Caenorhabditis elegans: one gene and its partners. The protein of the gene in region 2 purifies or fractionates together with the protein of the main gene of each other region. This does not show direct contact. Each region holds a gene or a part of one and is shown on either strand. Other genes may lie near its edges. The genes, in order: pinn-1, ttr-5, pqn-74 and arf-1.

Region 1 (5,563 bases), on a different chromosome or scaffold from region 2:
TTTGAAAAAAAAAATTTTTTTTTTGAGTGTTTTTTAAACTGAAATTCCTTAAATTTTAGGCAGTTTTCAGCAAATTTTATTCAAAAAATAACAAAAATCTGTTAAATACCTTTTTTTTTAATTAAAAACAATTCTGAAAAAAACCTAATTTTTTCAGACATTTTCTGCCAGTTTTTTCTGAAAATTCATAATTTTTAAAAGTATTTTTATCGAACTTTATTCCAAACTGAATGAAAATATAATTTTTAAAATTAATTTCAGACAAAAATTTGAAAAAAAATAACTTTCGAAATTTTTTTTTTCAGAAAAAAAATTCAAAAAATGGTTTTATTTTTCAAATTTTCATTTAAAAATTCTTTAAAAGATTTTTTCAATTTTTTCAGAAACATTATTTAAAAAAAACGATTTTTTTCAAAATTACAGAGAAAAAATCAAAAATATTTTTTTCAAAAAATTTTCTAAAAATATCTTATTATCTGTGAAAATCACTAAAAAATTTTTTTTTTTAATTAAAAAAAAATTCCATTAGGGCTGAGACCCATATATTCCACAAAAAAATGAAAAAAAAATTTTCATCGAAAAAAAAATACTATATGGAAATTTAATCAAAGGTACATTTTGCAAATAAAATTCAAAAAAAAAGTAGAGAGCGAAAAATGGGGGAAAAACTGAGATATCTGGAGGAATAGCAGCGGAAAAATCAATAAATTATCGACTTTTCAATTTAAAAAATCAATAAAATATCGATTTTTTAGGGAAAATGGTCAAAAATCGATAGATTATCGATTTTTTAGTGAAAATACTGAAAAAATCAATAAATTATCATTTTTCGCGGAGAATTTCAAAAAAAAAATCAATTTTTTTAGTCCAAAAAAAATCATTAAAATATCGAATTTTTAGTAAAAATTCTTTTAAAAAACGATTTTTCAATAAAAAATCAATAAATTATCGATTTTTCAGTGAAAATGGTCAAAAATCGATTTTTTAGTGTGAAAACTCTCAATAAAATCAATAAGTTATCGATTTTTCAATAAAAAAAATCAATAAAATATCGATTTTTTAGTGAAAATTCTATAAAAACCGATTTTTCAATTAAAAAAATCAATAAATTATCGATTTTTTAGTGTGAAAACTCTCGATAAAATCAATAAAATATCGATTTTTCAGTGAAAATACCGAAAAAAAAAATCGATTTTTCAATAAAAAATCAATAAAATATCGATTTTTAGGGAAAATTCTTTAAAAAAATCGATTTTTCAATAAAAAAATCAATAAATTATCGATTTTTCAGTGAAAATTCTATTAAAAATTGATTTTTCAATAAAAAAATCAATAAATTATCGATTTTTCCAAGAAAATGGTCAGAAAATCAATAAAATATCGATTTTTAGTAAAAATACTGAAGAAAAAAAACAATAAAATATCGATTTTTCCAGGCAATTTATTTGATACGATAGATGAGATGAACACCGGATGAAGTATCCACAATATCAGACATTTCTCCAATTTCCAGTGCAAATGAGGCGTCTTCGAATGGTTTCTGCATTTGACGACGTTCGAATGGCTGAAAATTTTAGAGTTTTTGGGTTTTTTGGGGTGAAAAAATCGATATTTTTGAAGATTTTTTGGAGGTGAAATTAGCTGAAATTGCAGGTTTTTAGGCGAAAAATTGACCTTTTTTCAAGTTTTTAGAGGAAAAATTGGTAAAAATGAATTTTTTCGCAGTTTTTCACGCAAATTTATAGCTAAAATATTATATTAAAATTGATTTTTTTTCCCTGATTTTCAGGGTAATTTTACAGGCAATTTTTCGTGATTTTGTCATAAAATTCGAAGAAAAATTGTATTTTTCGGAGCATTTTAAGGGTAATTTTGATATTTTTAATTTTTGAACATTTTTTTGTGAATTTTTGATAGCAATTTACAAAAAAAACAAAGTTTTCCGTGAAAATCGATTTTTTTTCAGACTTTCGGAGATTTTTCAGGTTTTTCATATTAAAATCCAAGAAAATTGGGGCTCTTTTTGACGCTTTTTCAATAATTTTAACAGTTTTCAATGGATTTTCGACAAAAATCGGACGTTTTTGAGCTTTTTTCACCCGAAATTCGACAGTTTTCTGGGCATTTTTCACTTTTTAGAGGTTTTTAGGCTTTTTTTCAGCTATAAAATCGAAGGAAAATTGTATTTTTGAAGCTTTTTCACACAAAAATTTCAGGAAAAACGACATTTTTCAACAAAATTTGAACTTTTCAGGGCAAAAATTTGCGTTTTTTCGGTACTTTTCCTCCGCCCGGCGGTTACAGTACCCCAAGATCTCCGCCACGTTTTGCCGAACTGCAATCGCTGAATTGTTTGGCGAGTTCACGGAATTTTCCCTCAATGTTCGACGCATCTTTCAGCTCCTTTTCGTAATCTGAATGAAAAAATATTGATTTTTAGACCAAAAATTCCGATTTTTTAGCTTAAAAATCATTGAAAAATTGGAAAATTCGGCGAAAATATACTTTTTCTGTCGAAAAATCGAAAAATAGAGCTATTTTTCGATTTTTTTTTTAGTAAAAAACCTGCAAAATGCAGTTTTTAGCCGATTTTAGACACAAAAATGAAGAAAAATCGATGATGAAATCCAATTTTTCGGCTAAATGTGAGAAAATCCGCAATTTTCAGCAAAAACCCGGGGAAAATCGATTTTTAGCGCTGAAAATTGAATTTCCGCGCGAATTTTTAGGTTTTTACTGTGAAAATGGGTGATTTAGAGCTTTTTTGGCCATTTTTCCGCGAAAATGCCAGATTTTAGGCTGAAAATTAAGAAAACGTCGATAAAAATCATTTTTTCTGGAATTTTTGCGGCTAAAATTCAGGAAATTGGCAATTTTCGGCTCATTACTCTGAAAAATCAAAATGTTTCTCGGTTTTTCAAGTGATTTTTAAGGAAAAAATGCGAAAAACCGCAAATTTCCCGAAATTCTCGTTTTTTTTATACAATTTTTAGTCAAAAATTTCATTTTTTTAAAGCAAAAAACGGCAATTTTAGTGCTTTTTTCGGACAAAAACGGTGAAAAACTGACTGAAATGCCGATTTTAGGCTGAAAAATGAAGAAAAATCGATTAAAAACCCATTTTTCCGGGTAAAATTAGAGAAAATCGCATTTTTTTGGGATTTTTGAGAACCAATTTTTCATAATAAAAAACAATTTTTAGTGCTGAAAATCCGCATTTTGGGGGTTTAAAATGTGAAAAATCCGGATTTTTCCGAGAAAAATTTAGTATTTGAGCTAAACAGCCGAAAAACTTGCCATTTTCATGAAAATTTCACTAATTTTCCGCTAAAAATCAGAAAATTGGCAATTTTCGGGTTAAAACTCTAAAAAATCGTAATTTTTCGGGGTTTCAACGCGATTTTTCAATTAAAAATCGGTTTTTTGCGCGGAAAATTGGTCAAAAATCAGAGAATTTGCTTTTTTAAGAAATTTTCTCGAGAAAAATCGAAAATTTCGGCTAAAAATTAAATTTCCGCACGGTTTTTCAGGTTTTTAATATAAAAAATTGGCGAAAATCCGGTTTTTTTGGCATTTTTTACAGGAAAAACACGTTTTTCGAGCTAAAAAATCCGATTTTTCACGAAAATTCCGCAAATCCGCACTTTTGAGGATGTTAATCGCGTCATCCTTGGATCTTGTGATGTGATCGGACCGCCAAGACGATGGATTACGGCTTCCATCGTGTTTTACGAGCAAATGAAGGCATTGGACGGATTTTAGCTCGCTTCCCTGGAAAAATATCGATTTTTGCGGGGTTTTTGGGTGAAAAAACGCGAAAAATCACGAATTTTGAGTGATTTTGAGCGAAAAATCAGCTAAAAATTGCCATTTTCTCACTTTTCCAAACGCCGACTCGTCTGGGCGCTCCCATTGGCTGCGGCCGGTGGCCGTGTTGAAGTAGTAGACGCGATCTGGAAAAATTATCGATTTTTTTCGCAGAATTTCGCGAATTTCCAACCATTCGAGCGGCTCTGACGCTTTTCCCATCCGGCTGGCAGCGAATTATCGGACATCTGTGAGAATGTATGGGTTTTTCTGGGGATTTTGCGTAAAAATAGGTATTTCTGGGAAAAATCAACGATTTTTCGGGGGGAAAAATGAATAAAATCGGTTTAAATGTGGAAAAATGCAATATTTATACGAGAAAGACAATTATTATGCGCGGAAAAACCGTAGAAATCTGGAAAATTGGCCCGTATTCAGTAAAAAATGCGATAAAATGCAATAAATTATGGAATATTCGATCCGTTGACTCTTGTACAACATTCGCTGGGTGCTTTCGAGAAATCGTACACGTAGGATGGATGTTTTCTGCAAGAAATTGGTTAAAAATTGGTGAAAAATGATGGAAATTGATTAACGCGGCCGAGAAATCGATTTTAGGCAAGCGCGCTCTATGGAGAATCGGTCGTCGCGGCCACGGAGTCCTCTCGGAGAAGAGGTGAATTAATAATTTCGCGAATTTCGCATAATTTTGGCGATTAAAAGGGGTTTTTGCAGGTTATTTCCGGTTTTTCGATGGGAAAATTGATGAAAATTGCATTTTAAATACGAATCCAGCAAAAAACAAGCGAAAATTCGATTTTTTCGCTGTTTTTTCCCGAGAAACTTCGAAAATGGCTTAATGTTTCGCCGACTTTCTAAAAAATCGGCCTATAAATGCGAATTTTGCAATTTTTCGAGTGATTTGGCGCAATTTTCGCACGAAAAATCAGTTTTTTGGTCGAAAAATGGAAAAATTGGCAAAAAATTGGAATTTTTCGGGGTTTTGTACAAGAATGTCGAAAATTGGACGATTTTCGGTAAAAATCGACCATTTTTATCCGATTTTTCCAATTTTCCGGCCGATTTTAACACAAAAATCTGGTTTTTTTGCGGAAAAACCCAGAAAATGGCCAAAAATGGGTAAAAATTGCGAATTTTCTAATTTGTCCAGCAGATTTTGGCAATTTTTAGGCAAAAATCTGAGAAAATAGCTTTAAAAAATTGGTGAAACTTGTGAATTTTCTAATTATCCGAGCGATTTGGCAGTTTTAGGCTAAATTTCGGTTTTTTGGGCTGAAAATTGGTGAAAATTGCGATTTGTCCAATTTTCCGGGAGATTTTGACGATTTTTTTACTAAAAAAACCCAAAAAATTAGCGAATCCGGGGCAATTTTTTCGCATTTTTCACAAAATCGGCTTAAAAATTTCCGAAAAAAAAGGCGATTTTTCTAATTTTTCGAGCGATTTCATGGGTTTTTTTTGGTGGAAAAATCCAAAATTTGGCGTAAAAATTTTGTCAAAAAATTCAGTTTTTCGAAAAATGGACCATTTTTTCCGATTTTTCTTAGGAAAAAGTGAATTTTCCAATTTTCCGGGCGATTTTGACGATTTTTAAACCAAAAATTCAATTTTTTTTTGTTTTTAAATTCAAAAAATCCAAAATTTTAAGGCTAAATCCTTTAATGTTAAGGCCAAAATTTTGATTTTTAGGCCAAAAAATCAAAATTATTTTTAAAAAATCTTAAAATTTTTTTTT
Region 2 (2,898 bases):
GTGGTTGCCTTTGACGTCATTCTTTGATCTCCATTATCATTATTTCCTCTGTTACTTTGCCTACTTTCAGTTTTTCTTCCTTTTGGTGTTTCAGCTCTTTTCCTAGGTTTCATAGGTGTCATTGGCTTCCAATCATCTGATGGCATTGGATTCTTATCAGGTGTCCATTTTGAATTGACTCCAAATGCTTTCATAGTTCCATCTTCCATCATTAAATCTGAATATGCATTTCTGATTGCATCAGACTTCACTCTATCCATATCCTTTGCTATCTGTTCAGCCTGCCGTGAGTCTCCTCTGACAACTGCGTCGCTTCTCTTGTGACTCAAATCGACAAGTTGTTTCTCGGCTTTTGATAGATCATCACAAGCTGATTGGCACAAATGTGATTTGACAGGTTCGTCCTTGTCACGATGCTCAAGGGACATGACTCGGAGATTGTTACGGAGAGTTCGGACTGATGCCAATGGATCGGCTCCAACATCTGAGCTCCGTTCGTCGTAGCCTTGCATTTTATACTCATTTTTGGGTCTGCAAGGTATCTAGTGAGGTAACGGATCATGAAAAACTGCACGATGTCTAGGATTTTGAAAGCTATTAATACAACTGACTTCTGACAATGAATCCAGAAATCAAAAAAGTACTTACAATCCATAATCTCCAATCTCTTTCTTCTCTTTTTCTTTTTCTTTGTCTATTGGCTTGAATCTTCCACCATTCCTCGAGCTCGCACGACTTCCCATTCCAGCAGCATTCCGTCGTTCTTTGTAATCGTCGTACTCCAGATCAAAGTTCCTAGATGACGACATTGGGGGAAGAATAATAGTTGTAAAAAAATATTTTGAAGAAAGTTTGGAAAGAAGGACGATGCTTGGAGCTAATCTATAATTCCCTTTTCTTTACATTTTTTTTGTTGGGTGTGTTACTATGGAAAGGAGAATAATGAAATGTTGAAAAGAAACAAATATACTAAACAAAAATTATATCGAAGGTTAAAGGAAAGCAGGTGTTTTGAGTAATACATTCTTCAATTAAACACTTTCAGGCGTAAGGAAGGCATGCAACAGGCATGTAAATAAGAATGTTAGTTGGGAAATATGATGATCGTGGGTCTGTCTACCTAAGAGCCTGCATGTTAACCATTTACCTTCGTACATGCCTATTCTGACCTTTCTCTTTGCCGGATGTTTGTTTTTAGGTTTTGGTCATAATGTTGACATCAACCTTTGGCATATCTTATTGAGTTTGTTCTCTTTGTATTTTTTTTCATACAGTTTCGGATACGTTTTCCTGGCTAGAGTTTCCCAGGTATGACTACTTGTTTGATTCTAATTGAAAGGTCACTTTTGTTTTTTATGTTTTTTAATGAATTAGTTGGTGTTTGACTTGTTTACAATTGTCTGATACACCATTTGTTTTGAAAATGATATACTTTGAGGTAACAAATAATCAGATCATCTCTTAGTATATTTTCTCGTACAGGTGTATATAAATTGATTAAATCTACTTATTTTCCATGGAAACTAATACAATTTGTGGACTACAACCACACTTTTCTGTCAAGCTTTTTTTTTATCAAAAAGATATATAACAACAAATCTCTCTTTTTTTCCGAATTATCTTCTTTTTCTTATCTTTTCCTGAGATTTCGTAAACATGTTGTTTTCTGAGAGCATAGCTATTGGTTCTTTGTTGGTTCCATTCTTCCATCCCGGCCTTTTTTACTTTATCATTTTGTTCTCAACAAAAGAATTTCAGAATGAAGCTTATAATCCTTTTGTGCCTTGTTGCCTCAAGCTATGCTTTAATTGGAAATACCCAATCGGCTGGAGTACGTGGAAAACTGATCTGCAATGGAAAACCAGCTGTTGGAGTTTTGGTCAAGTTGTATGATGATGATAGAGGTAATCAAAAACTTTTTTGAATATTTCCTAAAAGTCTATTTCTAGGAATCGATGCCGATGATTTGATGGCTTCTGGAAAGACCAATGGCAACGGAGATTTTGAAATTTCTGGACACGAAGATGAAGTGACTCCAATCGACCCAAAACTTAACATTTACCATGACTGCAATGATGGAATTAAGGTTTCTGGATGACTTTATTACATTTTAAGATAATTGAATTTTCAGCCCTGCCAACGCAAGTTCACTATCAAGATCCCAGATAGCTACATCAACAAGGGAAAGGTAAGAAGATTAAAAAAACTGGAAGTAAACTGAAATTAATATTTTCAGACTGTCCGTAATATTTACGATGCCGGAGTCATTCAACTTGCTGGATCTTTCCCAGGAGAAGGACGTGACTGTCTTCACTAAACTTACCAACTTATATATACTCTTTTTTCTTGAAATAAATCTTTTTAAAATAACAATTTTGGATTGCAACTTCAAATTTTTCAGAGAAAACATTTCGATCCTATTTTCTATAAAAATAAAGTATAACTGGAATATTCAGGAATGCAATAAATATAGATATTTTCCCTATAGTGCAAGAATCACAGGGGATACTGCAATCCTCGAAAACACATTTTATCCGTGATTTCGAATTTTAAAAAACTCATTGAAATATTTAAAATCATTCCTAGAAGATTATCGTTGTAAATTTTATAAATACCACCAATTTGTGCTGGATATTGAATTGAATTTTTTTAATATCGACAGTAATCTACTACGGCCAACAATTTTCGTACCGTCACTTGGTGTAATGTCCGCAAACACCACCACGTCGGAATGCACAAACTGGCCAACACGCATTCTTTTTTATTGTGTCTTCTTTTTTCTTTTTTAAAGTTATAAATATTGACGTTATTTAAAGCATAGAATTGTGAGAGAATGGAAAAACGCATCTAAATACTTTGAAATATAATATTCTCTTCAAAAAAACTGAATTTCAATGA
Region 3 (4,444 bases), on a different chromosome or scaffold from region 2:
TTTACCAAAATAAGCTTGTTGTCATTTAAAAATAAGTACCTTTGAAATTAGGTGTTTTCATGAAACAAGGTACACTAAGAAAATTATCTCCACAAAGTTTTTTACATTTTGCAATTTGCACTTCCTATAATTGCTTAAGTACTCCACTAAAAAACCAATAACAATTTAAATGTTTATTAAATGTATTTCGAAATTTGAGATTCATATGAAATACAAACAAATTGCAAAAAGTAGAAAACTGCGAAAATTATTTTCTTATTAAACTTTGTTTTATGAAAACACCAAGCGTTTAGATACTTGGAAATTCTAATAAAAAAACCGACCCGCCTGATGTCAGCTGCTGTAGCTTTTTTTCTGGAACAGAGTTGTATAATTTTGAAAAATCCAAAGTGTAGAAAAAGTTTTCGTCAATACTTTGTTAGTTGAAAACATTTTTCCAATAAGCAAAGTATTTGAGTTTAAAATATTTGAACAAACCATTAAAATCACTGCAAATCCGGGGTATCAGACAAAAACCAGAAAAGTATTGAAAATATATATTTATTGAAGTACCATCATAAGTTATATAATAGTTATCATTGGAGAGAAAACCCTAGACATTGGACAATTCGGAATACAAATAAGGATTGGGGATTTGGGGGAAGACGGGGGAAAAGTGAGGGCAAACTAGGCGGTACAATTATGGTTGTCTATGCGTATCCGTTTCATGATTGTTGTTTTCTTCACGGTATATACAAAAAGGCGAGAAGATTGTAGCAGTTTTTGGTTCGATGATGATGTGTGTGAGATGTTCGATCGATTAGAAACGACGGGCCTTCTTGCGGAAGTAGCAGCAAACCATGCACTGAAAGAGTGTTCGTTTGCTTATGATCTATTCGAGCCTCCCTCCCCATTCTTACACACCCCCGTCCCTATTGTAATCGTCTCAATTGCCACACACAAGAACGGAAACCGGTTGAATTGGTTGCCGATCTCTTGCTTCTAGACACTACTCTCTTACCTGTTGTCCGGCATTTTGTCCGACTTGGCAGACCGATTGTCCTGGGCACTGGTAGTTTTGGTTGCATGATCCGATTTGAACTCCTCCGGTGCATCCGCATTGAGCGTTCTGTGGAGCCTGGGTGGAGACGTATGGGGCTGGAGTTGGAAGAGTTCCTGGCTGGCTGTTGGTGTCCCAGACGCAGACTTGGGATTGGACGTCGAAGACGGTTCCTGGGGCACATGGCATACGTTGCCATCTTCCGCAGAACAAGTTGTTTGGAGCTGGCTGGCATTGAAGGTAGTGAGTGCGGGATTGTGGGTCAGTGGCAAGTGGGTCGATCATCCATGAGCAGATTCCTTGGTATTGAGCGTTTTGAACTCCGGATCCTTGGACTGAAATAGAAAGGTTTAGATTGTAGATTCTAGAACCATAAGATCTTACCGAGTGGGCATGGCTGTGGCTGGACAACTGGAGCAGATTGTTGTGGGCAGTATTGTTGCTGGGTGGTTGTGGTTTGGCAGTTCTGTTGAATTTGGGTTGGGGTGCACTGGCATGGTTGCATCTGAACTGGAGCCTGGGTGGTGGTCTCTTGTTGTTGGCAGCAGGAGATGGAGACAAGGATCTGCTCATTCTGCTGATTGTTGGTAGAGCATGTGCAGGCTGGTTGGTTCTGTGGGCATGGGCATGATGGGTATTGGGAGAATCTCAATGGCTGTTGCTGGGCAGATCTGCGGACCTTCTTGACAGCAGAGATTGGCTCGAGGATTTCCGGCGATGGGCAGACACAGTTTTGCTCTCCATTTGGACAGGCGCACTGTCTTGGAGCCTCACGGGTCTCCTCAACGAGGAATTGCATGGCCGAGGCAGTTGGGCAGAAGTTGTACTCGGTGGCATTGGCAGACTCGCAAAGTTCCTATAAACAAGAAGATAAACAAAAGGTTGAAGAGTGAAAGGTAAAGGATTACTTGTTGTTTGTTGACAGAACGGACAGTCTTACAACGGCGAGCGGAGGCAACAAACTCGTATCCTGGGAGGCATTCACGAAGAAGCCAGATTCCGAGATCTTTTCTGGAAATGTGAGAAGGCGGATGAAGGTAAAAAGGTATTCAGTATCAAAATGGCTTACCTATCGGCAGCAAATGAGGATTGACGAACACATTCAACATAACGGGTTGGATCACCAGTGGCTCTAGGGAACGATGGCAATTGGCAGATATCACCAAGAATGGCTCTCCAGTATTGTGGAGTTTCCTCACCACTCTTGGATTCGCAAGATGCGAGAGCTATAAGAAAATGGAAAAGGTTATCAAGGAAGAATGAAACAAAATGTTAAAATTGTTAAAAAATCAGAAAAAAGTGATAAACCTGCGAGAGTAGCGCATCCGATAATGAGGAGGAAGCGCGCCATGTGTGTATGAGTGAGAAGAAGCTAGTGTGATGCTCAATCGGCAAACTCGTCGCGCTTTTATACGATTTGGCTCTGGAGCACACCTGGGGAGGGCTCCCGCGCCCTCTCCGAAGTAGGCGGTTCTCTCAGCCCGCCCTAATCCGGAACTCATCAGTGGAATGGCATGCGGAGAGAGGAGCGCACGCGCACCCGTCGACCCACTTCTCACCGCGAATACTTGTAAATAGATTAACAAGATTACAATAGGAATTGATACCCCCTCTCTTCTCTCTTGCTTTCTATGTTCATATTTTTTGAAAATCAAAAACTGTGTTTGTCAGAGTAAACAAACAAAACCCGTGTGTCCGTGCAAATTGGCAACTTACTACAGACAGTAGTGTACTCGAGCATGCTTTCGCAGAAACCGTTTAAGTAGTTGGTTCTCTTACACTACTACAAGTCTCTTTTTTGGCTTTGCGGCGTCAAGCAAGGCCGAAGGTTATGGGAAAAGAAGCTTCTAGACGCTAGATATTTCATCTTTTGGTTCTTGTTGACTCAAGTTTATTTGTGTCGTTCTACTTGAGCTTTTCTCTCTGATTTGCATCATTTTTGATAGCTGGAAACAAAAGGTTACGGTACAAAATCACTTCACAATTCATAAAAATTATTTGGGAATTTAAATGAAATATTGCAAAAATTTTTGAATCGTCTAAAATTGCCAATTTTCGCTCGTAAAAATGGATAATTGTTGTTTCTGATGATTATAAAAGCGATTTTAAAATGTTTAAAAAATCTACAGTACGCTTAATTTTTACAGGATCTACTCTCAAAGCGAACTTAATATTTTCAAATTGAGGTCGCGCAAAAAGTATCTGCGCCGTTAAGAAGTACAGAAGTACAGTAAGAAGTACTGCCCATTTTTTCTTCAAAATATTATTCTGTAGAAAAACGTTTTTGAAAAATCCCCCAAAAAAAAGAGCGGGTTACTGTAGCGCACGCTCATATAGAAAAAAATTTTGTTCGTCTCGGAAACCCATGGAGACGTAACGCTATTCTTTCAGATTTTTTTTGATTTTTTTCAGGAAAAAAATCTTGAAATATTTTTTGCAAAACTGAAATTTTCCGGCAATTGAAAAAAATGCGTAAAAACTCGATTTTTCGATGTTCAGACCTAGTCAGTGCACATTGAGAACTTTTCGGATGTTCGTTTACATTGTGCTCAAATTAGGCGAACTTTGTGAAAATCTGGCACACGTTTCAATAGCGAACCTGGATTGATGTCCGCTGCTTATTTAACTTGTATATCAATTGTATTCAAAACTTCAAACATGTTCGCTGTATGACATGCATGTGCTCTACAATTAGAGCCTGTTCTCTCAAGTTTCTTTCGTGCCCCCAAAGTTCCAGACACGGATCGGTTTCCCGTAATCTCTGGTCTCCGAAGAACACCCCCCCCCCCCCGTCGCCTAGTTCTCAGTGTGTATCCGATGTACGTATAATATGCACTTCATATATCCACCCCTCCTGTCTAACAATTAGTGAAGAATTGAAAAAAAGGTTGGTGAGGGGAGGAAGGAGGGAGGGCGCGAGCTCGTTGACGCCGCGTCTCGTCCGCATGTGCTTCTCCTGCGCATCATCTTATTCCAGTTTGCCCTTCCAATCGTCCGTTGGGAGCAATAAGAAGCATCAGTTGAGCAAGTGAGGAGGGGGGAGGCGAACAATGTGTGTTGAGTGACTCTATTCGTTGGTTTTTCAACAGTCTAACGGGTCCGTTTGTGTATGGGGGTATGTATGTTGCTTGTTGCTCCTGTTGGATTGTGAGAAGAGAACAACGAAAATGATATCTTGGAGAGAGAGATCCGCGCGCCCGCGCGGCACAACTCGGTCATCCATGTGCTCGCGGCGGCGGCTCCGTCAAGTGCCATCTCTTTTTCTTTATCTCTCGATGCACCATGCATTGGCACTCATTTATCTGTGAACAAGATTATCTGACACAGGTAGTATCCTCTCTGTGTTCAGATCATTGTCTTTAGACTCACGTTGAGCAATCTTTGAGCTGAATTAAATTAGTTTGG
Region 4 (3,573 bases), 3.6 Mb from region 2:
CAGGGTACATTAGAAGCACTGTAGGATTACTGTATTTTCAGTGTATTACGTGAACACTGAGAATGCGCATTGAGCAACATGTTCGACGCGCAAAATATCTCGTAGCGAAAACTACAGTAATTCTCTAAATGACTACTGTTGCGCTTGTGTCGATTTACGGGCTCGATTTTAGAACATAATTTATTTTCGAATTGTGACCGAAATATTTGAATTTCATCCTATTTTTCTTTTTTCTGTCATTCCGAGTCAAAAAGTGAAAAAGAACAAAGCAAAATCAGACCATGGCTACAGTAGTAATGTAAATAATTTCTGTATTTTTCGCTACGTGATATCTGTGCGCCAGACAAGTTGCACAATACGAAATTCCAGAATTTAGTTTTTCCGTATTAAAAATTTTTGCACATAGTATAACGCCTCATGTGTTAATAAATTACCCTTAAAAATTAACATTTCTTGTCCAAATTGAGGAAAAAGATCATTTTCATACTTTCATATTGTCATTATCAACAGGTGAATATAACATAATAATTTACTCCACGACAAAAAAAATGGTGAATATGATACTATAATACGGAAAAATTGAGGAAAAGCAAAACAGTGTTCGATACGAAATAGAAGAGAAGCGAAATTAAAGGTTCGAGGGGAAGGGAACGATGAAAACGAGATTTGTGTGTAGGTTTGTGTGCAATTACGCGCAAAAATCACAAAAATAGAATAATGGTTCAACAAGAGAAGAGAAACACGTTCATACTTCTTCTCGTTACACAACACTGTTTCAGGGAATATTTGAGGGAGATGGAGGGCGGAGCAGGTCAAAAATGGAGAGAAAAACAATGAATAACTTACATATTATTCCCGTCAGGAGCGGTTCCAAATGTAATCGGATAAGAAAAAATGTCGGATTTGGAAGTTAAGAAGAAATAGACGACAAATGAATTGGGGCTTTAAATAAAAATTGGGTTGAAAAAGTAGAAGAGGGCGATGGTGATCAAATTAAAAAGCCTAAGGGATGGGAGAGGGAATTTCAAATGGAACAGAGAAGAACAAAGAGAATGAATGGGGAGAAGAAAGGAGTTGAAACGAATAACAAAAACGGATGATTCGTAGTCGTTTATTCGTCGAAGGTGGATTCAGAAAAATGATTTAAGATCTATTCTTGAGCTGGTTGCTGAGCCAATCGAGTCCTTCATAGAGACCATCTCCTGATGTCGCACATGTGGCCTGGAATTAATTTATTATTGAAAAATAGTGAATTTCTTTAGTTTTAAAATATCAGATGAGAAACTGCTGATTAAAAATATCTCACCTGAATATACCACGATCGATTTCTGAGCGAGTGGAGCCCGAGCTTGTCAGTGACCTCAGCGGCGTTCATGGCTTGTGGAAGATCTTGTTTGTTGGCGAAGACCAGAAGAACGGCATCACGAAGCTCATCCTCGGCGAGCATACGCATCAGCTCTTCACGAGCCTCTCCAACACGTTCACGATCGTTGGAATCAACAACAAAGATAAGTCCTGCAAGAAAATATAATCAATAGAGCATTTTTTTTGGACAGTCTGTGAATTCTTGCGGGTGATAAGCTGATCCGCAAACTATTCTCGTAAATCACTAACCTTGTGTGTTCTGGAAATAATGCCTCCAGAGTGGACGGATCTTGTCCTGACCTCCGACATCCCACACGGTGAATGAAATGTTCTTGTATTCGACAGTCTCCACGTTGAATCCTGAAATATGAATAAAAATTATGACTCATTGTGAACCGTTCTTTCGCAACAAAAAAACGTCCCAATGACTCACCAATAGTTGGGATAGTCGTGACAATCTCGCCCAGCTTCAACTTGTACAAAATCGTAGTCTTTCCGGCAGCATCCAATCCAACCATCAGAATACGCATCTCCCGTTTGCCGAAGAGGCCTTTAAATAAGCTGCCGAACACGTTTCCCATTCTATAAATTGATTAATAAATTAAATTATTGAATTTCAGAAGAGGAACCGATGGAAGTGAAAAGGAACGCTAATAAAATGTGAAAGCTGAATCAATAATCTTCGTGGGAAATTGCGAAAAATTCGGGAAGATTTCAAATCCAATACGTGAAAATGCCAGCAACGACAATCGGAGAAAAAAGTACGGAAGACGATTGGAAGGAGGAAGAATCGGGTAAAACGTGGCAAGGAGATGGATATCTATAACAGGCGCAAGGAGCGAGAATCCAGCAGAAATACATCGGCTACACCGTCCAACGTGTCACTAGCACAGCAGTCTCTGGCGACCAGTGGAGTGTCTCTTCCTCTCTCAACCTCTCGACGCTGCTTTTTGTCTTGTTCGCTGGGCGCGTCGCGTGCGTTGCGCAGCGGTCGAATAAGAGGAGATAGATGGCAATAAGTGAAGAGACCGAGACGTGAAAGTACCGCAAGAGATGAGGAGAGAGCGAAAAAGAACAAGAGACCGTCCAAATTTGTCCGCTAGTGCAGGACGGAAGGATGAAGAACACATACACACAGGAACGAGAATAGTAATGTTCGAGTTCCTTCTACTGACTCCACGTCAGCCGTACGTTGAATCTTTCAATCCTTCAGTGAAATCTTGATTGATTGATTGAATGAACCCGAAAGTTCTAAAATTTGAACTTTGAAACAAACTTTTTCGAGTGATAAGACGATAAACTGCAACATTAAGAAAGTGATGAAAAATGCTTTTTGAGAGAAGAAAAACCTATTGAACGCGAGCGCATTGTTGAGAAATTTTGAAAATCGTGACGCAATTAAAAACTCTGAAAAAAGGACACGTGTCACAAGAGTGCAGCACGAGATACTGTGACTAATAAATAGAATCAGATGAGAAAATTAATATTAAATCAAATACAAAGCGCCAAACTTTCTAAATAGATGACCCGCATTTCCGACTAAAGCAATGTGGCGCTTCTGAAGAATGTGCTGGAGAAAAATGAAAGCTTAATAGAAACCGGCCGCCGCAGACAGTATAGATCAATGCCTTTGCGCCAATCTAGGATAGTTCATCTTTCCGCCTTTCAAAATGCCGAGAATTTCTTACTTTCTGCAGTAATTATTAGGAGTCACAAACCTTGATTTTCGAGCTTTTTGCGTTCAAATTCGGAAATAAATGAAATGACGATCAAATCAAAGATAAAATGTGACGATTGCAACGTCGAAGCAAGAAAAATTGGAGGAATAAAGTTAAGAAAGAACAAAGAAAAAAAAAATTAAAATCATTTATTTTCTGGCAATTCACGGCTAAATACGACGAAAACACACCGGTTTCCGCAAAAATACCTGTGTTTTATTGAAAATTAACTCGTTTTTTACTCGTCACTCGGGAGGGGCTCTTTTTGTACTCGTTCACTTTTCAGTGGCCCGTCTTTTATTCTTTCGCTGATTTTTTTTCGAGATCACAGCCATTATGTATTCTTTTACTTTATTTTTCTCATTTAGTGGAGTTATTGCTCTCTTTTGCTCTTTTTTGCTGGCTTTTTCATCAATGAGATATATCGATAGAAATAATGCAAACAACAAAAATGAACGAAAAAATAATGGGAACTTGTCAAGGAATCAGG

What was found.
Region 1: the proteins of ttr-5 (region 2) and pinn-1 fractionate together in Caenorhabditis elegans (co-fractionation; one large-scale study listed by BioGRID). This does not show direct contact.
Region 3: the proteins of ttr-5 (region 2) and pqn-74 fractionate together in Caenorhabditis elegans (co-fractionation; one large-scale study listed by BioGRID). This does not show direct contact.
Region 4: the proteins of ttr-5 (region 2) and arf-1 fractionate together in Caenorhabditis elegans (co-fractionation; one large-scale study listed by BioGRID). This does not show direct contact.

The regions. Positions count from the first base shown.
Region 1 is NC_003280.10:2,884,951-2,890,513, forward strand, and holds pinn-1 (Peptidyl-prolyl cis-trans isomerase), read right to left. Parts: upstream 4,058-5,563; 5' UTR 4,056-4,057; coding exon 4,001-4,055; intron 3,954-4,000; coding exon 3,880-3,953; intron 3,772-3,879; coding exon 3,645-3,771; intron 2,415-3,644; coding exon 2,308-2,414; intron 1,565-2,307; coding exon 1,442-1,564; 3' UTR 564-1,441; downstream 1-563. Other genes in the region: Beta-1,3-galactosyltransferase sqv-2, read right to left, coding at 4,272-4,353.
Region 2 is NC_003281.10:9,328,558-9,331,455, forward strand, and holds ttr-5 (Transthyretin-like protein 5), read left to right. Parts: upstream 1-1,758; 5' UTR 1,759-1,759; coding exon 1,760-1,904; intron 1,905-1,949; coding exon 1,950-2,086; intron 2,087-2,131; coding exon 2,132-2,188; intron 2,189-2,236; coding exon 2,237-2,317; 3' UTR 2,318-2,371; downstream 2,372-2,898. Other genes in the region: cepr-104.1 (CEntrosomal Protein Related), read right to left, coding at 1-531, 649-809.
Region 3 is NC_003282.8:13,328,984-13,333,427, forward strand, and holds pqn-74 (Chitin-binding type-2 domain-containing protein), read right to left. Parts: upstream 2,424-4,444; 5' UTR 2,391-2,423; coding exon 2,348-2,390; intron 2,268-2,347; exon of another isoform or gene 2,266-2,267; coding exon 2,109-2,265; intron 2,051-2,108; coding exon 1,948-2,050; intron 1,896-1,947; coding exon 1,424-1,895; intron 1,375-1,423; coding exon 1,001-1,374; intron 845-1,000; coding exon 800-844; 3' UTR 524-799; downstream 1-523.
Region 4 is NC_003281.10:5,714,489-5,718,061, reverse strand, and holds arf-1 (ADP-ribosylation factor 1-like 2), read right to left. Parts: upstream 1,948-3,573; 5' UTR 1,947-1,947; coding exon 1,799-1,946; intron 1,726-1,798; coding exon 1,615-1,725; intron 1,516-1,614; coding exon 1,307-1,515; intron 1,222-1,306; coding exon 1,144-1,221; 3' UTR 518-1,143; downstream 1-517. UniProt on the Caenorhabditis elegans protein: Small GTPase involved in protein trafficking between different compartments. Modulates vesicle budding and uncoating within the Golgi complex. In its GTP-bound form, triggers the recruitment of coatomer proteins to the Golgi membrane.